Oryctolagus cuniculus: one gene and its partners. The protein of the gene in region 1 interacts with the protein of each later gene in a pairwise test. Links are inferred from orthologs where the notes say so. Each region holds a gene or a part of one and is shown in the gene's direction. Other genes may lie near its edges. The genes, in order: UBE2E1, RNF25, CNOT4, ZNRF1, ZNRF2 and RNF111.

Region 1 (3,458 bases):
GTTTTCTCAGGGTAACTGTTAAGCACAAAAACTCAGTGGGGGGGGGGGGCAGGCTTTGTGGCCCAGTGCATCAAGCTACCACCCGGAGTGCCCACATCCCATACACCAGTGTCACTTCTGGCTACTGTTTCTATTTTTAATATTTGTTTTATATGCAGGCTTTGTGGCCCAGTGCATCAAGCTACCACCCGGGGTGCCCACATCCCATACACCAGTGTCACTTCTGGCTACTGTTTCTATTTTTAATATTTGTTTTATATATTTGAGAGAGAGACAGAGCTCTTCCATCCACTGGTTCACTCCCCAAATGCCTGCAACCACCCAGGCTGGGCCAAAGCTGAGGTCTGGGTGGTGGACCCAGGTCTCCCATGTGTGTGGCAGAGCGCCAATGACCTGAGCCATCGCCACTGCCACCCAGGGTCCGCATTTGCAGGGAGCCGGAGCCCGGAAGTGACCCAGGCACTGCTGTCATGGAGACGAGCATCTCAACTGCTGGGCTAAAAAGCCAGCCTCTGGTCATTTTTACTTTGGTCTCCTGATTTTTATTTGTGGAAATACATGATGTGCACCAATTAAAATAACTCCTGCTTCTGTGGCTCATGCTGACTGGTCCTTGCCCACACTGGGCTTCCCACTCATGGAGACCCCTCTATAAATCCTGGGGTTCTGGTAGACAGGGTGGCTGGGGGAACTGGTGTAACGCAAATCCTGAAGAGCTTTTTGGTTGTGTAGCCACTGCCTACTAAGCATTCTATCACATGCAGACTATGTTGTACCTCAGGTTTTATGAGGTATTGAAGATTGTGTAGTACTACCAGCTAACACAAGAGGTCAGCAAACAATTAGCTATTCATGCTTCAAAATGCTAATATTTAAACAGTAACCTTGCTGAAGATGAACTCAGGAGGGTACCGAACTTTTAGCTTTTTGAAGACATTACTTTTAAAATTGACAATTCCTGACACAGGACCAATGAACATTTAAAACTATATTAACTTTCCGTTTATTAGAGAGAGATTTTCCATCTGTTGGTTTGCTTCCCAAACGTGCGAACCTGCCAGAGTGCACTCTGCCAGGCTGAGACCCCACCTGGCCTCCCGCATGGGTGGCTTGGGTGCATTCGCAGGACCAGGCACCCCAAACAGCAGTCCCACAGTGTTATTCCTAAACAGTTGCTATTGTTTGACTTTTCTTTTAGGTTACATTTCGGACAAGAATCTATCACTGTAATATTAACAGTCAAGGAGTTATTTGCTTGGACATATTGAAAGATAATTGGAGTCCAGCACTAACTATTTCTAAAGTCCTCCTTTCCATCTGCTCACTTCTTACAGACTGTAATCCTGGTAAGGTTAACAATTCTCTACCTTGTTTTATTTTTCCTCACCTGAAAAAGACAAAAATGAAATTGCTTTTCAGAGAAAGTTCTAATGGAGATGAGTTGGCAAAGGGAGCAACTTCACCATTGTCTAGTATGTTCTAGGACAAAGTATTTTAAACTGAAGAGTCTAGTCTGTCCTAACCTCACCTGGCTCACTGTGCCAGAGCTGCTTACGGAGGCAGGGCTCAATTTTGAAATGGGATTTCTTTGCTAAATACTTAGTGACTACTGAAGTGTGATTTTGTTGGGACTGCATTCCATTAAAAGTTTTCCCTGGATAAGCTAATGTAAATGTAAAGATGCTGTGTTAAGTTGCCAGAAACACACTGTTCTCAACTGCAGCCCAGGTGTTGGCTGGCAACTGGAAGTGCCACGGCCACGAAGAACTCATACAGTGCCTATCGCCACCACACACGGCCACGAAGAGCTCATACAGTGCCTATCGCCACCACACAGCCACAAAGAGTTCATACAGTGCCTATCGCCACCACACACGGCCACGAAGAGCTCACACAGTGCACATCGCCACCACACGGCTGACGTCCTTTGTAGCCTGTAGCCCTGAGCCCGCCCAACATGTTAAGAGCAAAAGCGACTTACTGGGTGGTGTTGGTTGAGAAATGGTGTTAACCAAGCAGTAAAGCCAGACCAGTACTCTGTCCCTCCTCCATGCAGTGTTTTGTAAAGTCTGGAAGGAAAAATACCCAGAACAGTAGAGTGGTGTCTGACTGTAGAGTTGAAACTGCATTTTCCTTTCTCCGGAGTAACCTACATTCTTCTTCTTGCAGCCGACCCTCTGGTGGGCAGCATCGCCACCCAGTACATGACCAACAGAGCAGAGCACGACCGGATGGCCCGACAGTGGACCAAGAGATACGCCACATAAACGGGGTTTTCACAGTGCTTACATTACTTGTCTGTCACAGAAGAGAGCTGCTTATGATTTTGAAGGGATGGGGGAGGGTGGGAGTTGGTAAAGAGTAGGGTATTTCTATAACAGATATTATTCAGTCTTATTTCCTAAGATTTTGTTGTAACTTAAGGTATCTTGCTACAGTAGACAGAATTGGTAATAGCGACTTTTAAAATTGTCATTAGTTCTGCAGTATTAGCTAAAATGTAGAAAAGAATGTACATCTTGACATTTGGGTTTGGTTGCTTGTAGTCTGTAAAACAGCTTAATTTTGTACAGGTTACATACATGGCCATTGATGTAAAGTCCCTTTATGACTACATACTTTTGTTTAAAAAAATTGGAATTTGTTTTTCTCTTCTTGCAAGAGAATATTGATATTTAACAGAGTTTTTAGAGAGACTCATCTCATATATATAAAATGGACATGTGGCTATAAGACACCATATAGGAAATGAGTAGTTGATGTATTTTATTTTATATGCCAATCTACTTTATTGTGAAAAGATTAAAAGTTTGAATCAGGACTTGTGAAACCTGTAGTGAAATACCTTAAGCTGTTACCTGTGAGGCGTGGATAGGAGTTGCTCGGTGGATTGGTTATATGTTGTGGACTACTTAAGTCCTCGTTTGTTACTGTGCTAATAAACAATATTAAAAACAACCACCTGGTGCTGCTGGGTTTATTTTGTCTTTATTGACAGATCTTTGCTCTACAACAATTAAAAATACTTAATAAATAGCACTTACCTATGTTAGAATAGATACTTTTATACAACAGTAGACTTTGAGACGTCTTAGAGAAGGTTAAATAACAGGTTTTCAGAGACGAAGTGTCCTGCATCTCTTTACAAGCATTTTCTAACCTGCAGGTGCTGTGGGAGCAAGTCCACGAGAAACGGGTTGTGTCACAAGGATAGCTAAATGGGCACCACACTGGAGGGCAGTTTGACCCCACTTGAGGCTACACCTCCCATAACCCAGCAGTTCTGCTTTTGGGTCTCCTCCAGAGAAACCCAGCCAGGGCCACACACACTGACTACAGCATTTTAAAAGAATCCACTAACACAGATCTAAGCTGCATTCTGTGGAAAAAAAGCAAACTGTAAACGATCAGTAATCACCCCAGCTAAGCAGGAGTGTGCCTCAACAGCTGAGCGATAG
Region 2 (4,092 bases), on another chromosome or scaffold:
GCCACTGAACAGAGCTACAATCTCAGCCTAACTTCAGAACTCCAGAACTCAGACTGCAGATCGTCTGAGTAACTCCATGACACCTGTTAGTCTCCTACCTCCACCTCCCCCACGGATGGCACCCTGGCCTTACCCAGGAGTCCCCCATCCTGGCCCAGGAGGATATATCCTCTGCTCAACAGATGCTTTGGTGGATTCTGGGAGAGGTGTTCCGAGTGCACCGAGTAAACAAATAAATACTATTTTTCGTCTTAATCATACTATGCAGGAAGGGAGAAACCACCTGCACTCTCTTCTTTCCTCTTCATTTTTCTTTCCTCCTTTCCCCCTCTATCTCATCTAAGTCTAGAAAGTAGTGGAGCTGGGATCTGAACCCCAGCAATCCACCTGCAGGGCTCATGCTCCCTAAGATGTAGGAAGGAGAGAGTCCCTTAAGAATACAGGTCGGTATAAATGCATGCCGCTGGCTCTGTTTTCCACTAGAGTTTGGGGTGCCGAATCCCACCCAAAAGACAGCCCTCTTCGTCCACCACCTGAGCACTGTATTTTTTTCGACCCTTGTACACTCTCCCAAAAGAGCCTTCTCCAATCATCTCCAACACGTGGTACTTTTCCATGACAGTGGCTGCAGAGTTTCTCAGAAGGAAGAAGTTAGAGGCGGTGGTTTCGAGCTACGGATCCAGGGACAGTTCGACACATCGGGGAGGCCTGGTTCGGGCAGGGGAGAAGAGGCAACATTAGCCGCCTTGCCTTTTCGCTTTCTCATAATAAAACAGGTCTTAGAAGCACAGGAAGGCAGAGCGGACCAAAAGACCACGAGCTCCTGGCACAACCGGAGCGTCTCCCTGGAGTTCCTTTTCTTCAGCGCCCTGCCGCCCACCCAACATCCCCTCTGCTTCTCACGCCCCCCAGCCTAGCCCACGCGACCCCGCCCCCCTCAAACCAGCCTCGCCCATCGACCCCGCCTTCCAGACTACCCCTGGTTCCCGCCACTCCCAACTTCCTCTGCACCCGCGCCCAGACCCTCGTCCACGCGCTTCGCTGGCGGGGGCCCGCCTCTCACCCCCAGCCGAGGAGCTCGAAGCTCCTCTGGCCGAGGGACGCCGGCGCTGGCCTTCAGCCCCGTCCCGTCTGGCTGCCTGCGTGCTGCGCCTGGCGGAGTTTGCCTCCACTCGCTCCCTAGTCCTGGTCTCTTTAGGCTTCCGTTCTCACCAATTTTACGCGCTAGAACCGGTCACAAGTTCCGAGGACAACGGCGCTCAGAGGTGGTGGGAGGGATGGTGGGCCGTCCATAGGCACCTCCTGGGACACTTCCGAACTGTCTCTCGGCCATCAGGTCCCACTAAGGACCCGGAGTCCGCGGTTGCCTAGAAACGGCCCCGGCTGGCGTCCCCCCGCCCCCGTGGTTTTCCGCCTCCGACTTCCCCAAGGGCACTTCCGGTTCCGGCCGCGGGCCGGAGGCGACATGGCGGCGTCAGCGTCGGCAGCTGCAGGGGAGGAGGACTGGTAACTTCGGGGGCATGGGCTTCGGTTGTCGGCCTGGCTCTGGCCGGGGGCACTCGGGGCGGCCGCAGACCCTCCGTGCGGCGGGCGTGTGGGGGTGGAGCAAGCGAGGAGGGTCGGCGGAGACGCTGACATCTCCTCCTAGGGTTGCTTCTGGACTTGGGCGCGGGAGGTGGAAGGGGCGCCGGTCTGCGAGGAGACAGCGCCGGCCCGGCCAGTTCGGGACGCACGTTCTCCGGTTGGATCCCCTCTGCTATGGCCTCACCCCATCCCGTCCTGTCCTCTGGAAGTGAATGTGCTCAGGGGCCCCGGCGATGCCTGCTCATCAGACCTCCCCACCTCGCCCACCCGGTGCCCTCCACCTTCTGGCCCCCTTGCCCCTTGGATCAGCCTCACTACCGCCCGCGCCTTCCTCAGCCTCCTCTCTCCCCAGCCGATCTAACGAGGGCTGTCCTGTGCGTGAAGCTTCACAACACAGAGAAAGCCCTCCTAGTTCTCTCGAGCATTCTTAACGAGAAGCCGGAACCTCCAAGGACTCTGGGACTTGGAAACAGGATAACGATGTGGGTTCACTCCACATATTAGCTGTGTGGTGCTAACCAGGCCATTTAGCCTCTGTGAGTCAGTGTCCTCAGCTGTTAAAAAAACAAAAAAAGTGGGTGTGGCAGCTGCATCATAGAATGGTTGAGATGATCAGGATGCATTTGTAATATACATAGCCATCTTTGCTTTAATAACTTTTTTAAAAAAGATTGATTTATTTGGAAGGCAGAGTTAGAGAGGCAGATTTTCCATCCACGGGTTTACTCCCCAAATGGCCACAACTGCCAGGGCTGGGCCGATATGAAGCCAGGAGCCCATAGCCTCTTCCGGATCTCCCACGTGGGTGCAGGGGCCCAAGGACTTGGACCATCTTCTGCTGCTCTCCCAGGCGCATTAGCAGGGAACTGGATCAGAAGTGGAGCCGCCGGGACTTGCAGTGGCTTTACCTACTATGCCACAGCGCTGACCCCATATCTCTTGAGATCTGGGCACCTGCAGAAACTAGATGAGCCCAGAAGTGAAGTGATTTGCCAGAAGATACAAAGCTGTGACTGGGAATCCGGGTCTGACTCCAGATCTTCTCATCTTCCCATTTTTTTTCTGTCATCACCTTACCACCATCCCAGCCAGTACCTCCATCCAGGACCCAAGTCGTAGCTTGGTAGGCAGAGTATTGAAGGGCCAGTCTTGACTGAGGCTGCACCTCACTGTACCCTGGTTCAGGGAGCCCAGCCAGTGCTGACCACCTAGATGAGTGGTTTTCAAACTGTTCGGGGGAGCTTGTAGAGACACCTTGAGCCATGGAGAGAGCCGCAGTGACTGTAGCCGATAGCCTGTTGTGGTCTGAGTCCTCCCCAGTCCTGTGTGAGCAACCACTCATTTGTTATCTGTGAGGTGTACAGCTTTGTGTTGTGAAGTTTCTGCCTAAAGCTTTTTATTAAAAAAAAAAAGAACCACTGATAACAACTCCTGCTAGAGGTGCTCCTGGTGGAGAGGGAGCAGCACAGGGAACTGAAGCACGCCTGCTTCTGTGTACGGTCAGCCTCCATGTCCGCAGGTTCCCCATCCACGGATTGAAGCAGCTGCACGCCGGAAGTATTGGGTGGGCTGGAGCGGGACCCTGTACTGACATGTATAAACTTTCTTGTCATTGTTCCCTAAGCAGTACAGTACAACAGTTCGCATATTACTTACATTGTCTTACAGTCTTATAAGTAGGCTAGAGATGATTTAAAGTATGTGGGAGGAGGTTCATAGGATGTATGCAAATACTGTGTCAATTTATACAAGGACTGGAGCATCTGCATTTGGTATCTGTAGAGGGTCATGGAACCAGTCTCCCACAGATACCAAGAGATGCTTATCACCCAGGTACTACTGTGGATAGCAACTAAACATTCGTCGCCAGTGTCATGACAACAGCTGCTTCTGTGTTTAAAACTGTGTGTCCTGTAATTTACACCAGGACCATGGGTCCTCACCTGGACAGGCTGATCTAGATCAACCAGCCAGCCAGGATCATAATTAGATCCGGAGTACTCTGCTAACCACATCCTTCCCTCTTTGCTGTTAAAGGGAAGATTAATGCAAGCAGGGAAAAAGAGAACATAGACTAGCTTCTGTGGCCCAGATCCTCTTAGGTATTTTACATAAACACATCACCTTTAATCCTCAGAGTCACCCGAGAAAGTAGGTGACTTTAGCGGCACGTGGTAGATTGGGAACTCAGGCTTACTGAGGTTAAGTGACTACTCAGACCACGTAGCTGGTAAGCAGTTGGTACCTGTTAGCTAAGGCTGATGGCTCTGCTGCGACACAGCTGTACACTACCTGGATTTCTGTTAGGAGTGGTATCTCCTGGAGAAGGCTTGGCAAGAATGGTGTTGGCAGTGTATAGACAGTAGCCAGGCACTTGGATCCATGCTCAACAGTGCCAAAGGAAAAGACAGGAGCAGCAGTGGAAAGCTGATGCCCATGGATGGATGCCCTGTTTCTGGACCAGAGAGATGGTCAACAAGGGATAACCAACCATAGAGTGAAACAGAA
Region 3 (3,944 bases), on another chromosome or scaffold:
TTTTTTTTTTTTGTCCCAGTAAGATTAGGTTCATAGACCTAAAAGTGCAACGTGTTTCCCTACTCCCCTTCTTTGTTTTAAACATTTTCCTTATCAGTTACGCCCCACCACCCATTTTAAGAATGTCTTTTTTGAATGGATTGCTGCCTGTCCCTGACCGCACCCTTACCTTACACTAGAATAGCGACCCCGTTTTGACCACCGCTGTATCCCGAAAGTTTAACACGGTGCCAGACACACAGGAGGAGCTCCGTGAGTATCAGAGGCACGAACGGGCAAATACACTTCACACGCTAAAAGGACTGCTCGGAGCGCCACTTCCAGCAGAGTGCGAGGGGGCCAAGCCGAGGGACCACTTTGGGATCGCGCACTCCTGGGTGCTGGAGGGGGCTGGGGTCGCGTTCCTTCACCTCCCCCCCCCCCCCCCCGGGCCTGCAGCCGGTGCGCCGGGAGCACTCGGCGGTTCAGACAGGACCCCGGCCTAACGCTACCGTGCACCGAAGTCCGCACGGTGTTCTTCAGTCCAGAAACACACGGTATTCGGAGTCCATGCATCTCGCCCGTGCAACCCGCACAGGACATCCCTGCTCCGGAGCTTTCGCGCGGCGGCTGGGCTCCAGGGCGGTGCCCCCGGGACTGCGCGGAGACGGGGACACGAGTTCAGGCTCCGGGTGCGCACCCACACGAGTTCAGGCTCCGGGTGCGCACCCACACCCACGCCGGTCTCCAGTTCTCGCCCCAGGTCGAATCCCGCGCTCTGCCTGCACCTCCTCCCCGCCCCCTGGAGAGCCCTCAGTTGGGCGCGGCGGCCAAGACAGGTCCCCGGCGCCCCTCACATTGGCTAGGCTCGCCCCGAGTTTCGGTTTACCGCATTTCAGCACACGGAATCGCTAACGACAACCGCCGAACAAATGACATTGGGGCAGCACACGCCGCCTGAGGAGGAAGCAAAACACGAAGAAAGGCGTCAGTCTCACAGCCACGTGAGGTGGGCGAGCCCGTCCGCCCTCAAGGCTGAGGACTTCAACTCCCAGCTTGCCCCTGGGCGGGTACCCTCCGAGGACTACAACTCCCAGGGAGCCGCGGGAGAGGCCGCCGCAACCTCCCACTCGCCCGCCGGCCGCTCCTCCCGCCCCTCCCCCGCCCCTCCCGGCTGGATCGGCGTGCGCCTGCGCACCGGAGGCCAGAGGAGTCTTACCCAAATGTAAGATGGTGGCCCGTCTGGCTGTGGAACCCACCGAAAGCTGAGAGTCTCCCTCTCAGCCGTAAAGGTCGGACTCGCTGAAGCAATCAGGCCCGGTTCTGAAGAGTTTTCTCCCCGACACTCGTTCAGTGGTCTCTTGTGAGGACGCGGCAGCGCGCGGAGTCGTCTAAGGGAAAAGCGAGGCAAGGCAGGCGGGTGAGTCTATGCGGGGCTGGGCTTAGGGGAAACCCGGGGCTGACCGGCTACGAGAGAGCGGAGGCTTCGCTGGGACTGTGCAGGCCGCACCCCCCTTCCTCCCCACCCCCCGCCTCATCTCAGCCTCCTCCTCCTCGGCCTTCCTCCTCCTCCTCCTCTCTCTCCCTCAGCCCTCTACGCCACAGCAGTTAGCACCAGGAAAAGGGAGCGGGGCAGGAGGCAGCGCGGCGGCCAGCGCCGACTCCCCTTCGATCGTTTCTGTAATTGGGGAGGGCGAGGCGGCTGCCGCTCCCCGGCGTCTCCCCCCGCTGCGATTTTCTAGGGGCAGATCCTCGGGTCTCGGTCCTCCCTGTCTCCCCGGCCCCTTTCCCCTCCCTGTCGTCCTTTCGCGCCGGCCCCGGTCCCCCCAGCCCAGAGCCATCACTCCCACTCTGACCCGTGTCGTCGCCGCTGGCCTCTGGCTCCGCTGCTGCCACTCTGGAGTTCGCCCTCGCCCCCTGCGGCGCCTCCAGCCGGTCCCCCCGGGTCTGTCTGCCTCCGTGGGGCGGCTTCCGATGTGCAGCCCGGCTTCCGTGAACCGCATCTGTCATCCCGCAGCCGCCCCTAAGAGTCTCGCTCGTGCCGCCGCTGCTCCTTGCGACCCACCTGTTCCTCAGCCTGCTGGGGGACTGCCCGTCCCTCGCCTCTTCCGACACAGACTTCGGGCGAGAGGGCTGCCCCGGCTCGGTCCTGGAGGAGTGAAGGAAGTTGGGAAGTGACTGGAGCGAGGTAGCACACTGTGGAGCGATGGGAGTGGGGGCTGCCGGGGAAGGAGCGGCTACGTTTGGCTTTCGGCGATCTGTGTGTCGAGGACTCGCTGTGTTGTCTTTTCTTTCCCTCTCTGCACTGCTTTTTCCATGCTGAATTGCCTCTCCCCAGGACACTTAATGTGGGCTCTGATTATACCAATAAGTAGTAGCCTGAACATTGCAAAGTAAGATAAATCTGGTGTACCCCAAGGCTCGTCTGCGAACTGCACACCCAAATATAGATGCTATTCTGATGAGATGTGAGTTACGGACCCCTTCTGTGTTCAGAATTGATTATTGACCAAGTGAGTGATATTGATGTTCAGCTTCATTGAGGACATATTTTATTTATGGTTTCAGTGGAAAATTCCTCTCCAGCTAATATCAGGTTTATACAGTATTTTTGGATTTGGAAAGTTCTGTTAGACACTTCTAGGGTGATAGTTATCCCAAAACGTTATCTTCTCTTGAAAATCTATTATGTATCCCAGAAGAAAATCTAGTCTTTGTAAGCCTAAATCACTCATATCTATCTATCTATCTATCTATCTATCTATCTATCTTTTTTCTTTAAAAAAGAAGGGGGCTGGGAAAAGTAATGACAAAGCTGTACGCCTGTGTGTATTTGGTGACAGTCCCTGTGGTTGTTGTCTGCAATAGGGAGCAGAAAACTACAAGTGAGAGGTGGCTTGCGCTGTCCATGTTTTGAAGAAAGCAAAATTGAAATATTCTGACTAATGGCACAATGGGAAGAAAGAGCCTTTCTGCAGACCCACTGTGGAAAAGAACTACCAGAAAAGCAAACAGGATTACGTAGATAAGATACATACATGTCAAGTTTAAATAAGACATTATGTTCTTAAGATATGTGTAAGAATGTTTATAGTAACAATCTCTTGCAGGAATCCATCTCTTACTTGCAAAAGTAAGAATACTTTAAATGTAAATAGAATACAGTTTCCCTTTAGTTACTTTTGCACATTACTGGCTTATTGTAATTTTTTGCAAATTTTACCTGTAAGGCTTGAATCTTAAACCTGGCATTATATTTGCTTGATTGTGATAAATGGTCTGTTTTACCCAAAGTAAGCTAAGATTAGAAAAGCTGTTTATAAAACTTCTTCTTTCCTGTCAACTATTTAAGTCCTGATTTGGGGAAACTAAATAAATCCCTACTCTTGAGAATTGGAAATAATTTATATAACAAACCTTGTCCTAGGTTGTAATTTAAGGTTTAAAAAAATATTGCTTAAATGCAGTTTATCAGTACAAGTGTATTCACTACAGTTGCTCTTCATCTCCTCAGTAATAGCTCATGCTGGTGGAGAAGCTGTCTACTTTGAACAATCCATACACAGGTTTAGAAACCCTTGGCAGTCATACTTGGCTGGGTTGTAGCAGTGTGTTCTAGGAGAGGACTGTTTGTCTGGCAGAAGGAGGAAATGATTTTAATACATCTTTTTCTTTGGTAAAGCTTTTTTACTTCACTAATTATTTTCTCAGTTTTCTCCTCTCTTACTTTTTGCTGGTAGTCATCAGATTCTTAGTTTCAGTCCTCTAAATTAAAAAAAAATGAACTTACTTTGGATCTTCAGTCTGCCTGAAGAAGATACTTAAAGGTTTTTGACATTTGGATGGAAAGTAGGGAGCTGAGATTTTTAATATTTTTGTATAGTTTTTTAGTTGTGATGGTATGATCATTACAATTTCATACTTGCATGGTTTCTTCTGGTAATTTGAAATACTCTATGCCACAA
Region 4 (4,298 bases), on another chromosome or scaffold:
TCCGCTTGCATGTGAAATGGTTCTGAAATTTGTGAGAAAAGGTGGTTTATCTGTCTTGTTCTCCACGGTATCCTAGAATCTAGTATAGTGCCTAGCACTTACAAGATACTAAATATTTGGTTAAATACACTAAAAAGGTGTGGAATGAATAAAATGGAAAGCAAAGGGGTGGGTTGCAATGGTTATTGTGTATCTAGACCGCCCACGGGGCCTGTCTGTGAGGGATCTGGTGGTGTGTATCTAGACTGCTGACGGGGCGTTTCTGTGAGGGATCTGGTGGTGGTGTGTATCTAGACCGCCGACGGGGCCTGTCTGTGAGGGATCTGGTGGTGTGTATTTAGGCCGCTGACGGGGCCTGTCTGTGAGGGATCTATCTGGTGTCTGCATCTGAACATCCCTCTTCATTCCTCAAAATTTTTCTCCTAGGAGGAAATTAGATTAAATTTAAGCTTTTCCATTTTTCTTTAGATCATTCACCTGGATTTTTTTTTTAAATTTACTTGAAAGGCAGAGTGAACAAAGAGAGGGGGGCTTTCACCCCATTGGTTCACTCTCCAAATGCTGGCAAAAGCCAGCTGTTCTTTTTGGTTTTCTTTTACAACCTGTTTTGGCTCTTGGTTTAGAAGTGGGAAATCATGGTGCTCGGAGCCAGCAGTTAGTGCCTGAAAACTCGTTGCTCAATGAATGAATGGATGTGACTATGTGACAAAAGGACAGGGCATTCTTGGTTGCAAAATTCAGGTGGGTCAACAAATACCTGAGTACTTACCGCGTCCTTGACCCTGTGGTGGATGCCAGAATGCTTGGCAAACAAAACAGTGCTCCCGTGTTGGACAAAGGAGTTTCCAAATATTCTTTTTCCGTGTCTATACCTTTCCATTTTTAATAATAAATTTATTGATTTTGAGCATTGCATTTTTTAGCAAAGGAATCGACCCATCTGCTTAATGCCCCAGATAGGAAGTTCTGATTTAATGTCAGCAAAACCTGGGATTCACAAGTGCCCCGGGGCGCTGTTTATCTGGAAACAGCGAACACCCCGAAATGCTAAGCTTCTCGATGTTGGGGTCCTTGGATGGGGAACCTCCAAGACACTGGACACCACGTCCACCAGAGGGTGCTGTGGGGGCAAATTTGGACCGGGAGGGGAGCTCGACCGGTGACCCTCAGAGCCAGGTGGGCGTAGTGAATAATTTTCATTCTTCCCGGGGTTCCCTTCCCACCCCTTGGAACCGTGGTCGCCCCTCCCCCATAAGTGGTTTCCCCCTTTAATAATTATCCTCTTTGCGAATGCTTGCTTGGGAAAGACGTCTTGCTTGCATGGCCGATGTCCCCTGGCTCAGGCCATCCACGTCCCTGGCTCGCTGGAGGAGGGCGGGCGGCCGGGCAGCGCAGGGGCTGCCGCGGCCGGGGCGCCGCAGGGGCGGCGAAGGGGTTAACCCGGCGGGGGGGAGGGGGAGGGGGCGCGGGCCGCGCCTGCGCTCTGCCGCCCTCCATTGTCTCCACGGCGGCGAGGAGCGCCGGCGAGCGCTGCCCGGGACCAAGGGGCCGGCGCGGCTGGCGGGGCCGGCGGCGGCTGGAGCCAGAGCGCGACGCGACGCGACCGCGGCTTCCAGAGCTCCGCCTGGCCGCCCAGCGCCGAGCCCTCCCGCGGCCTGAGGGGTCCGGGCCGCCGTCCATGGTCGCCGCGTCCTGAGGCGGGGGACGCGCCCGGCGCCCCCAGCCCTCCGCCGCCGCCTCCTGTGGGGCGGACGGCCTCCTCCGGCGCCTCCCTGCGCCCGCCCGCCGCCTCCCTCCCTCCTTCCCTGCGGCTCGCCCGGCTTTCCGAGCCCGGGGGCGGCCTGTGGCGCGCGGAGCCCGCGCCGGACTGCGCCTCTTTGGACCTTGAAGGGAAACATGCGTTTGGCTTGGATCGTTTTAAATTCTTAGTTTGAGGTCCCTGCCCGCCTGCTTCTCCTCCCCGCGGGAATTTTTTTTTTCTTTTTTCTTTTCCTTTTTTTCCCTTTTCCCCCTCCTGGTCTCCTTTTTGACTCCTTCCCCCTTTATGCTCGCCCAGCCCTCCCCCCGCTGCTGAGAAGTGGGGGAGGGTCTCGGCTCCCAGGTTCCCGCCCCATCGGGGCCCGGGCGAGCATGGGGGGAAAGCAGAGCACGGCAGCCCGCTCTCGAGGCCCTTTCCCGGGGGTCTCCACCGATGACAGCGCCGTGCCGCCGCCGGGAGGGGCGCCCCACTTCGGGCACTACAGGACGGGCGGCGGAGCCATGGGGCTGCGCAGCCGTTCGGTCAGCTCGGTGGCGGGCATGGGCATGGACCCCAGCACGGCCGGCGGGGTGCCCTTTGGCCTCTACACCCCCGCCTCCCGGGGCACCGGCGACTCCGAGAGGGCGCCCGGCGGCGGCGGAGGGTCGGCGTCCGACTCCACCTTTGCCCATGGCAATGGTTACCAGGAGACTGGCGGCGGTCACCATAGAGACGGGATGCTGTACCTGGGCTCCCGAGCCTCGCTGGCGGATGCTCTACCTCTGCACATCGCACCCAGGTGGTTCAGCTCGCACAGTGGTGAGTCCACGGGTGGTGGAGGCCTCAGAGGGTGGAGTGCAAAGAGGGCGCCCCAAACCTTCGCGCGCTCCGAGGTTTGGATACGGAGTATGCGACCTGCATGTGTCAGCCTTTCTTTGGGTTCTTGGTGCCAAGGGATGAATGGGTCCCCACCCTGTAGATGAGTGGCTGTCTGCGAGGCTGCAGGACTCCAGGCATGTGTTCGCTTGTGGATGGGCAGAGTGAAACCTGCCTGTGGAAGTCCCCTTTATCGGCATCTCCTTGCTCGGAGAAGAGGGCTTGTCTGGCTTTTCAGCAAGTCTGCTTGGGTGCTTCGTTCCTGCCTTTGCAGCACGGTGCCCGCCTCACCGTTAGCAGACAGCTGGATCCGCTCCCACCAAGCGGTGGAAGAGTGTGAAAAGAGACAAAGAGTGTGAGAAGAAATGAAACTGGGGGCAAGTGGTGCTTGGATTAGGGCCCTCGCCCTGGCTGAGAGAGGGTGGGGTGCCCCGTTTTGCCACCCGGCTGGAAATCTGTTTGAATTGCTAAAAATGGAGCAGCTGGCAGGCGGCTGGCACAGACAGGTGTGGCCTGCTGTAGGCAGGGCCCAGGCAGGGAGCCTCCCTCAGGGTTCTGTGTGGGACCAGAGCTCCGGTCACCCGTGCTGCACGAAGCAGGCTTGGTCAGCCACTCTCCCATCCCTCCATCTTCTTCCTTCCACTCCTTGCTCTTCCCGTGAATCTGCGTCTTTTTGCAACCGAGAGCCTGGCAAGGTGGGGTGTTATTGCCCGGCTGTTGGCACATGACTGGGAAGAGGAGGATTCAAAGAATGGGGCTGGGTTCATTTTGTGAACTCCTGGTAGCAGGCCAGCAAAGAGCTGGAGGGGGATTTCCCAGGCTCTGCTGGGCAGAGCGGGGAAGGCCTGGCGGGGCCTCTGGAGGAAGACAGGACTGTCTGCTTGGCTACCCTGGGAAGCCAGGACAGGCTTCTAGAACACCGGTCACAAGGGGTGTGGGGCTGCCATTTGCTGATTGGCAAATTGAATGAAGAAGTTGCATATTCAGACTCCTTTGGGTGAGTTGGGAAAATTAACTATTGTGTGGGAGAAAGATTGCTCCTGTTCTTAGGTTACTTTATGGAAGGATCTGTCAGGTCACTGGTTACAGCTGTTTTGAAATAAGGTAGACCTTTTTAGATCTTTCTTTTTTCTTCCTGTAAATAGTCTTGCCTTTTTTTTTTTTTTTTTTTTTGTCTTTTCTATAAACTTTAATTATTTGGGCAGAGAAATAGTGACATTTGGACGTGGCTTTTGAATTGCAAGGCTGGTGTCTTAGCCCTGCCCAGGCCTCTGGATGTCAGGAGAGCTTCTCGGACCTGCATCCCAGGCCGCCCTGAGCGAGGCGCAGGCATGACTGCCTTCAGCACCTTCAGTTGATCAGCATTAGGCGTTTTGAAATTAAAAATCTTTCTCACGAAATTTAGTACAGAAAGAGTCAGCTGTATTTGCGAGATGGTTGTGGTTTCATGTGAAAAAGAACTGTCATTAGGATCTTGTTTTAAATTGGGAAGCCCTGTAGAGTTAGAATTTTGTGTATGACAAAACGCGTCTTACAGAGGCTGGGTGGGGAATGCAGAAAGGGAGTTCTCTTTCTGTAACATTTCTGAAGTTTGTCTCTTACTGGAAACTTCTTTATCCTTATTCCACTACCAGCTTCCATGCCAACGTTAGGAGCTTACAGTTTGGATTCCAGGATTTCACAC
Region 5 (3,939 bases), on another chromosome or scaffold:
TGGGTTTCCCACGTGGGTGCAGGGGCCAAAAGTATTAGGGTCATTTTCAACTGCTTTCCCAAGCACATCAGCAGGGGGCTGGATCAAAAGTGGTGGGAATCAGTGCCCACATGGGGTGCCAGCACTGTAGGCCATAGCTTAACTCACTGCACACAACACTTCAATGTCATCTTCAGATGATTCCTCTGTGTACTCAAGTTTGCAAAGCACTCATTTAGACCATCATTTGTCAACTGCAGATTAAAACCCATTAGTGGGTTATAAAATCAGTCCTGTGGGTGGTGAGCAGGATTTTACAAAAGTAAAATAGAATGGAACAGAAAATGGAGTGGCTCCATGTGACATGGGCATTATCTCATAAAGCTTGCTTCAGTTCTGCCAAGGGGTGTACACCCCTGTGGACTGATTTGGACGACATAGTACTTCAGTTTTTGCAGAACCGGAAGGGTTTGTTAATGAAGCTATCCATTTTAAGTGAAGTCTGAACCATTTGTTGGATGATGAAACATCTTGACAGTTTCATGGGATTGCCGTTAGGTTCAGGGATTCAGAGGGCTGAGGAGAGCAGAGGGTGGAGACAGAGCGCCCACCACGAGGGAGCCGTCCAGGAGTCCGAAAGTGACCTCAAGGGAGGACTAGGGAGGAAGTACCTGCATGCACTCGATGATTCATTCTCATTTACTGTGCCATCACAGGTCTCAGGCGTTGTGTGAGACAGAAGGGGTACAGATGTGAGCTCCACCCTGGGTCCCACTGTTTAGTGACAAGAGGTCTAATACTGCAATCCGTGCTGCTCTACAGCACTGAACGGACACACAGAAGGCAGTCTGTGATGGTGGGCCGGGGTAGGGGGGCTGCAGGGGCATCTGTAGGGAGAAGATGCTCAAACGAATGACGACCACATGTTAACGTGATATTCCATGTAAAAGCATTGAGTCGCTTTGCTCTCACACTTAGTGTGCATGTGTACATCCATAACCATTCATATATTCTTCATGTACATATATTCTTGTTCAAAAACGTGATTACCATGCCCTTTGAAAGAATGAGAAAATCATTACATAAATGGCTCATTGCAAACATGGGGAGCGAGGAGGGAAGACCAAGTATTTCTGTCATTTGTACAAAAATATTATTTTCTTTTTTTAAATATTTATTTATTTACTTGAAAATCAGAGTTACACAGAGAGAAAAGGAGGGAGGGAGGGACGGAGGGAGGGGGAGAGAGAGAGAGGGAGAGAGGGAGAGAGAGAGAGAGGCTTCCAATCCCTGGTGCACTCCCCAAATGGCCTTAATGGTGGGAGCCAGGAGCTTCTTCCAGGTCTCCCACATGGGCGCAGGGGCCCAAAGACTTAGGCCATCTTCCTCTGCTTTCCCAGGGCATAGCAGAGAGCTGTATTGGAAGTGGAGCAGTCAGGACTCAAACTGGTGCACATACGGGACGCTGGCACTGTAGGCGCCAAACCCATATTATTTTCACATAGAGGATACGTCAAGGCTTTTCAGCATAGGTGGGTCGAATGTCCCGACCACGCTCGGCAGTCAAAATGCCACTCCATAGTTAAGAACACACTGGGAATTTTATTAAATCCCATTTTAGAGAAACGACAGGATTTTATGGCAGCAGACGCCCTAGGGTTTTAACACAAATATTCCAGGCAGGGAAGCTAAAACCCAAAAAGGTTAAAAAAATTGCTCCCTATCCATAACTTAGCCCTAAGGGGCAGGTGGGATCAACCTTAGCTCTCCCAGCTCCGCTCTGCCCCAGGCCCGGGGCTCCTTCAGGTCCGGTGGGCAGCCGCCGCCTTGGTCCTGTCTCCTGATTCCGCTGTTCTGTCAGTGTTAGCAGCATTGCGGAGCCTCTGGTTTTCATCTCTTAAATCAGCGTGTAAGGTAACACACACCCAAGTCAAACGCTCGGGACACAGGCACAGCCTTCACGCTCCAGCCTGCACACGCTCTTCTCCCGGGTCCGCGGGCCACGTGTGGAAGGAGGGGCCGCCTTCTGATTGGCGCCCCGAAGGACTCTATCCTCCAATCGGCGTAGGGCCAGAGGTGGCGGAGGGGGCGCGCCCTGGCCGGCGGGGCGGGGCCGGCGACTTGTCCATCATCGAGTCCGCGGGTGGTGGCAGCACCTACCACACCGCCTTACCTTGTTGAGGCGGGGCCGGGGCCGCGCGAGGCGGAGCCAGATCGGCGGGAGCCAATCCACGGGACGGAGCGAGGGGGGACGGGGGCGGGGTCTTCGCACGCAGCCCAAACACACGGGCCCGGGCGCACCCTGCAGCCGCGCGGTTTCTCGGCCTTCCGGTGTGAAGCCGGGGGAGCCTCCTCCCTCCTGGGCGCCCCCGCCCTACCGGCCCTCCTTCGGCCTGGAGAGGGGAGGGGGAGGCCGGGAGGCGGTTGCCGGGAAGCGCGCGCCGCCCCTCCGTCGCCTCCTCCCTTCACGCGCCACCCGTTTTCCCTCTTTCTCCGTTAATAACAGCTGGGTGGCGGGGGGAGGAGGGAAGGTGGCCCCGGCGGAGGCTGGGCGGGCGCCTCCCACTCAGCCGCGAGCCGCCGTGGGAGCCGGAGGATGGCGGCGGTAGCAGCGGCCGCCCGGGAGGAGGCGGTGCCGAGGCCCAGGGCGCAGAGCGCGGCGGCGGCGGCGGCGGCGGCAGAGCGCGGCAGCGGCCCGTCGTGGCGCACCAGAACCGAAAGCAGCGGCAGCCGCGCGGCCACCTGAGCGAACCCACCCCCGCCTCGGCCGGCGAGCGGCGCCCGCCGCCGGGCCCTCCCTCCTCGCCTCGCTTCGCCTCCCGCGCCCGCGTCAAGTCACCGGCCTCGGCCGCGAGAAGAGCGCGCGCCGGGCACCGACCGCCCCTCGGGGCGCCGGGCGGCGGCCCTGGACGTGCGGGGGCCCCTGTGGGCCGGCCGCGGAGCCTCGGCCCTGCCCGCTCGCTCCCGCCTTCCCGGAGCTCGGGGCGCCGCGCGCGGGCCCGGCCCGGGGCGAGGCGGACATGGGCGCCAAGCAGAGCGGCCCGGCCGCCGCTAACGGCCGCACCCGCGCCTACTCGGGCTCGGATCTACCTTCCAGCAGCAGCAGCGGCGGGGTCAACGGAACGGCGGGCGGCGGCGGCGGCGGCGGCGGAGCTCGGGCCGCGGCCGCGGGCAGGTTTCCGGCTCAGGTGCCCGGCGCGCACCAGCCTAGCGCCTCGGGCGGCGCCGCGGCGGCCTCGGCGGCCCCGGCGGCCCCGCGGAGCCGCTCCCTCGGCGGGGCCGTGGGCAGCGTGGCGTCGGGGGCCCGCGCGGCGCAGTCCTCCTTCAACATCCCCAACAGCAGCAGCGGCCCGTACGGCTCGCAGGACTCGGTGCACAGCAGCCCGGAGGACGGCGGCGGCGGTGGCGGCGGCGGCAGCGGCAGGGACCGGCCGGCGGGCGGGGGCCCCGGCGGGCCGCGCCTGGTGATCGGCTCCTTACCAGCCCACCTCTCGCCGCACATGTTCGGAGGTACGGCCCCCTTCCCCGCGCGCCCGGCCCCGCACGTGGGCCGCGGCCACCGGGTATTTTTGCCCTTCTCCTTTTCGCTTACCGTCTTTGGGTGCTGGGTCTCCGGCGCCCGGGCCGCTCACAGGGAAGGGAGCGCACTTAACCCCTGCGGTGCCGCGGCCGCCGGTCGTGCACCTGCACGCTCACCCGGTGGCTGCCCCCTGGAGAGCCGTGAGGGCGGGGGGAGTGGAGCAGGTGCTTCTTTAAGACCGACCAGCATCTCTCGTGGTTGTGGCTTGCAGCCCCCAGGGAGGCAGGAGGAGACCCGGTGCCAAATGTGGTTCTGTCTGGGAACTTGGTGTGGGGAGCGGCACTAAGGGCCCGGAGTCAGGGGCTCTCCGACATTGGGGGATTCGAGAAAGCGGGGAGTTAATAGCTCTTTGGAGCGAATGGTTTCACCTACTGTGTACT
Region 6 (4,175 bases), on another chromosome or scaffold:
CTCTTCAATAGCCTACATTAGAAAGAGAAGTTAATATGCTACACAGTCTATCTAAACTTATTTTATAAAAACGAAATGAAAAAAAAAATTAGCAAACCTCAAGCCTCAAGACATTAGAATTGCCAGTCATTTCATAAACCGACTTCAAAAAACAAACAAACGAAAAAAGGGCAATTAAACTACACGAGAGAGAAACTTTCGGGGGGGGGGGGGGGTTGGTTACAAATCGTTAGGTATCAAAATCACACGGAGCTTTAAATTCTACCGAGTCGACAATTAAATGTCATGCCGAACAAAAATCTAAATACGCTCTACTGCGGAAAAGGTGCTAGCTACTGAAGTAAATAACTAAGGAGTGTTCCTAATTTCCATAACGCAAACTGACTGCTCTTCTACTACTATTCCAACGCTCACTCAAATAAACCAGAAAGCAGATCACTACGCTGATGCAAAAACTAAAAACCCAGTAGAAAACAAAACCTTTCTCTCACCCACCCATCAACTCCCACTACCAGTCCCCCTCCCCCAGAAGGGGAGAAAACGGTTGGGCACAATTAAACGGTAACTTCGCAGAAGTCACCAAAGTAACCATTCCCTCCGAGGCCAAGAAGTGCACGCGCTCACCATGGCTCAAGGCTGGGGACCCAGCGACCCCCAGGTCTTCACGATCGCCCTTGGGAGGCCGCGCCGGCCAGCCGTAGCCTTCGCAGCCTGGCGGGGACGTCCCGGGGGAGGGGGGACGCGCTCGGCTGCTGCGGTCGGTCCCAGGCGGCTCGCGGGCCCCCGGCGAGCCAGGCCAGGCCCGGCCCGGCCCGGCCCAGCGCGCGGGGGCGGGGGCGCCGCGGCAGGGTCCTCGCCCTGCACACACGCGCGCGCGCACACACGCGCGCGCGCGGCCGCCGCCCGGGACCCCCTCGCCGCTCCGCCCCGCGGCTCCCGGCGGCTGCGGGCGCCCGGGCAGCTGCGGCGGAGACGGGGCGCCGAGACGCGGCCTAAGCTCGCCCTCGCGGACCACGCCGGGTCTCACCTGCTTGAGTCGGGAAATGAGCACCGTCTTGACTCCAGTGATGTCTAAGTTCCGCCGCTTCAGCTCGGACTTAAGATCGATGACCCGCAGATCGGTGATCTTTTTACCTTCCGCCTGACCTGAGGCGGCCGAGGCTGCCACAGCACCGGCAGCGGCAGCCATCTTAGGAGAGCGTAGCGAGTGGGCTGCAGGGCGGCGGCAGCAGCGCCAACTTCCACCCGGGCCTCGGCGGCCGGCGGCGCCGCACAGCGCTGCGCACAATGAGCCGCTAGCCCCGCCCCCGGTCCGCCACCCCGGCGCAACCTGCAGCCGCAGCCAGCACCCGGATGACGGGCGCGCCTGCGCACTGCGCGGGGAGGGGCGGCCGGCGCGTACGGCCGCGGCCACCTGGGCGCTGCGACCCTCTTGCGTGGGCCGGGAGGTCAGGCTTGTCTAACCGCACCAACGTCCGTCGCACCGCCTTTCCCCGCCGCCGGGCGAGGCGTTTTCCTGCAACGTCTCGAGTCTTGAGCCAGAACGAGGTGTTGGGCACTACCCCGCGTTCAAAGTTCACGCGTGCCCCAAAGGGGCGTGTGCGCGCCCTGAACCATTCCCAGGGAAACGCTTGGTCAGCCCTGCTGAGTAATCGAAAACAAAGGTGGCCAGTGTGCACGCACGAGCTAGGGTCCCCGGGCTCCACGCAAAAGGCCTCCACGGAGCCCAAAGAACAGGAAGGGCCGGCCTGGGTGACATGTCCCGCTGTCTGTCCCGGGCAGTTCCGCCTGCAGCCCACCTAAGCGGACTTGGCTCTAGGGTTGCCCTGGCTCGCTTGAAAAACAGGAAAACCCACTCTCCGTGTTGGCCCCGGTCTGCCATCCTTCGCAGGGGACCTGAAGGTTCGACACGAAGTTATTCACTGACTGAGGACTTCCGTTTTTAAATTCTGCCAGAGGCTGTGTGCACGGTTTCGCCCACCCCCCCCCTCCCCCCCAAACTTGGATTCCGAGATCACTGACCATCTTCTTAAGGAGGACCAGCCTGTACAAGTGAGTACCTATCGGTAACATTAGCCAGCGTTATTAATCATCAAAGCAGACGCATTTATAGAACCAAACCATAAATTCGGTAAACTGAGTAGGATGCACAATTAACTATACTTGCATGTCCTGGTTTTGCAACTTGAATTGATGAGGCCTGACTTATTTAAGGTTGGGTTTTTTTCTGATTGACTAACGAGTTCCAAAGGAGGAAGCCTGGGCGTTCTAAAATAATACTTGACATTTGCGTAGTTCTTTTAGGGCGAAGGAGGCATTTTGACATACAATAACCCCCTTAATCCTTCCCAAGTCTGGCAGGAAAATCTCTGTAAGGCTTAGAGAGATTAAATGACTTGTCCGTGTTCACACAGCTGGTGTGTGGCAGAGCTATGCTCAAATCCAGTCCTCCTGATTCCAAATCCAGCTCTGTCTGCTACAACGTTGGTTTCACAGTCACAGTGTTTTAGAATTCAAAAGCTCCGTAGAAATCTTCTAACGCAATCCTCTCCTTTTTTATAGGAGAAGATCTTAAGGGATTTGACTAGGGACCCACAGCTAATTATTGGCTACATTTACTCTAAATCTCAGATTTCTTCCCAGAGTCTTCCCACTCAGCCACTATTCTCCCATCTTCCGTAGACACATTTTTCTTTTTTAAAAATATATTTATTTGAAAGGCCGAGTTACAGAGAGAGAGAGAGAGAAAGATCTTCCATATGCTGGTTCACTCTCCAGACGGCTGCAACAGCCAGAGCTGCGCCAATATGGAGCCAGGAGCCAGGAGATTCTTCCCTGTCTCCCATATGGGTGCAGGGCCCCAAGCACTTGGGCCATCTTCCACTGCTTTCCCAGGTATATTAGCAGGGAGCTGGATTGGAAGTGGAGTAGCCAGGACTTCAACCAGCACCCATATGGGATGCTAGTGTCAAAGGTGGCTAATTTACCAACTATGCCACAATACTGGCCCCCTGTGAACACTTTTAAGAATGGATTATGCTAACCAAAACTAACAGTGTGATTGAAAATAGAAGGAAAAGAAAAGTAATAGAGTTTTAGAACAAAGATTACTGTAGGGGCCAGCCCTGTGGCATAGAGGATAAAGCCACTGCTTGCAGTGCCGACATCCCATATGGGCAGCTCCTGGCTCCTACCTTCTGCTCAACACAGCTCCAGCTGTTGCAGCCATCTGGGGAGTGAGCCAGCAGATGGAAGACCTCTCTCTCTCTGTCTCTGTGCCTCTGCCTCTCTTTAACTCTGCCTTTCAAATAAATAAATAAATCTTTTAAAAAAGAGATTGCTGAGGGGACATAACAGCAAAGCTTTACGTGTGATTGCTCTTAGAATAGTAGTGCCATTCTATTTGGAATTTTTACTTGCAAGTGGTTAAGTGAAAAGCAAGAAAGCAAACATGGCAATAGGTTACCAAAGTAAGTGAAGCAAAATATTAATTATTATTGGAAACAAATGTTGCAAAATGTTAATTAGGAAACATAGGGCTTTTTAAAAAATAAGGTTGAAGTTATTTACCATAACTTGGTTGAACATAACAATTCATCTATTTTTTATAATAGGGAAAAATAAAATGGAGAGAAGACATCACTTTTCACATGCAGGATATTTAATTTTGTCATTTAACCTATGATTCTTATTTCAAAATTACCTAAAGTAACTTACTAGTTAATGAATATTTCTTTAGTACAATATAATGTTTCAAATACATTTAGGTGAAGGAACATGATAATTTTTCTCAAGATTCAGTTTATTATTTGGATATTTAATTTTTCCTAAAGCTAATAGAGCTATCTCCCATTCTTCACCAACGTCCTGGACCATGTTGTGGACAAAACAAAGCTCTGAGCTGCTCCAGTCATGCTTATCTTTTTATATGCACTCATGTTTGTATACCAGGAACTTCAGAAAGTTCACAGAAAATTTGCCCTGTCTTTTATTTTTATTTTTTATTTATTTGACAGAATTATAGACAGGGAGAGAGAGACAGAGAAAGGTCTTCCTTCCATTGGTTCACTCCCCAAATGGCCACTACGGCCAGCGCTGTGCTGATCTGAAGCCAGGAGCCAGGTGCTTCTCCTGGTCTCCCAAGCACTTGGGCCATCTTCCACTGCCATCCTCCA

Evidence for each region.
Region 2: the proteins of UBE2E1 (region 1) and RNF25 interact in binary tests that used the Homo sapiens proteins (3 or more experiments, as listed by UniProt). The link is inferred for Oryctolagus cuniculus from reciprocal best matches to the Homo sapiens genes UBE2E1 and RNF25.
Region 3: the proteins of UBE2E1 (region 1) and CNOT4 interact in a two-hybrid assay, tested with the Homo sapiens proteins (2 studies listed by BioGRID). The link is inferred for Oryctolagus cuniculus from reciprocal best matches to the Homo sapiens genes UBE2E1 and CNOT4.
Region 4: the proteins of UBE2E1 (region 1) and ZNRF1 interact in binary tests that used the Homo sapiens proteins (3 or more experiments, as listed by UniProt). The link is inferred for Oryctolagus cuniculus from reciprocal best matches to the Homo sapiens genes UBE2E1 and ZNRF1.
Region 5: the proteins of UBE2E1 (region 1) and ZNRF2 interact in a two-hybrid assay, tested with the Homo sapiens proteins (2 studies listed by BioGRID). The link is inferred for Oryctolagus cuniculus from reciprocal best matches to the Homo sapiens genes UBE2E1 and ZNRF2.
Region 6: the proteins of UBE2E1 (region 1) and RNF111 interact in a two-hybrid assay, tested with the Homo sapiens proteins (2 studies listed by BioGRID and IntAct). The link is inferred for Oryctolagus cuniculus from reciprocal best matches to the Homo sapiens genes UBE2E1 and RNF111.

What each region holds. Positions count from the first base shown.
Region 1 is NC_091435.1:159,786,927-159,790,384, forward strand, and holds the end of UBE2E1 (ubiquitin-conjugating enzyme E2 E1), read left to right. Parts: intron 1-1,198; coding exon 1,199-1,346; intron 1,347-2,169; coding exon 2,170-2,267; 3' UTR 2,268-2,958; downstream 2,959-3,458. UniProt on the Homo sapiens protein: Accepts ubiquitin from the E1 complex and catalyzes its covalent attachment to other proteins. Catalyzes the covalent attachment of ISG15 to other proteins. Mediates the selective degradation of short-lived and abnormal proteins.
Region 2 is NC_091434.1:20,765,457-20,769,548, forward strand, and holds the start of RNF25 (E3 ubiquitin-protein ligase RNF25), read left to right. Parts: upstream 1-1,292; 5' UTR 1,293-1,465; coding exon 1,466-1,506; intron 1,507-4,092. Other genes in the region: STK36 (serine/threonine-protein kinase 36), read right to left, coding at 534-617. UniProt on the Homo sapiens protein: E3 ubiquitin-protein ligase that plays a key role in the RNF14-RNF25 translation quality control pathway, a pathway that takes place when a ribosome has stalled during translation, and which promotes ubiquitination and degradation of translation factors on stalled ribosomes.
Region 3 is NC_091434.1:171,313,175-171,317,118, reverse strand, and holds the start of CNOT4 (CCR4-NOT transcription complex subunit 4), read left to right. Parts: upstream 1-1,144; 5' UTR 1,145-1,399; intron 1,400-3,944. UniProt on the Homo sapiens protein: Has E3 ubiquitin ligase activity, promoting ubiquitination and degradation of target proteins. Involved in activation of the JAK/STAT pathway. Catalyzes ubiquitination of methylated RBM15.
Region 4 is NC_091449.1:57,474,958-57,479,255, forward strand, and holds the start of ZNRF1 (E3 ubiquitin-protein ligase ZNRF1), read left to right. Parts: upstream 1-1,498; 5' UTR 1,499-2,130; coding exon 2,131-2,557; intron 2,558-4,298. UniProt on the Homo sapiens protein: E3 ubiquitin-protein ligase that plays a role in different processes including cell differentiation, receptor recycling or regulation of inflammation. Mediates the ubiquitination of AKT1 and GLUL, thereby playing a role in neuron cells differentiation.
Region 5 is NC_091447.1:21,603,827-21,607,765, forward strand, and holds the start of ZNRF2 (E3 ubiquitin-protein ligase ZNRF2), read left to right. Parts: upstream 1-1,139; 5' UTR 1,140-2,999; coding exon 3,000-3,489; intron 3,490-3,571; exon of another isoform or gene 3,572-3,769; intron 3,770-3,939. UniProt on the Homo sapiens protein: E3 ubiquitin-protein ligase that plays a role in the establishment and maintenance of neuronal transmission and plasticity. Ubiquitinates the Na(+)/K(+) ATPase alpha-1 subunit/ATP1A1 and thereby influences its endocytosis and/or degradation.
Region 6 is NC_091443.1:81,824,062-81,828,236, forward strand, and holds the start of RNF111 (E3 ubiquitin-protein ligase Arkadia), read left to right. Parts: upstream 1-1,375; 5' UTR 1,376-2,052; intron 2,053-4,175. Other genes in the region: SLTM (SAFB-like transcription modulator), read right to left, coding at 1-12, 1,028-1,189. UniProt on the Homo sapiens protein: E3 ubiquitin-protein ligase. Required for mesoderm patterning during embryonic development. Acts as an enhancer of the transcriptional responses of the SMAD2/SMAD3 effectors, which are activated downstream of BMP.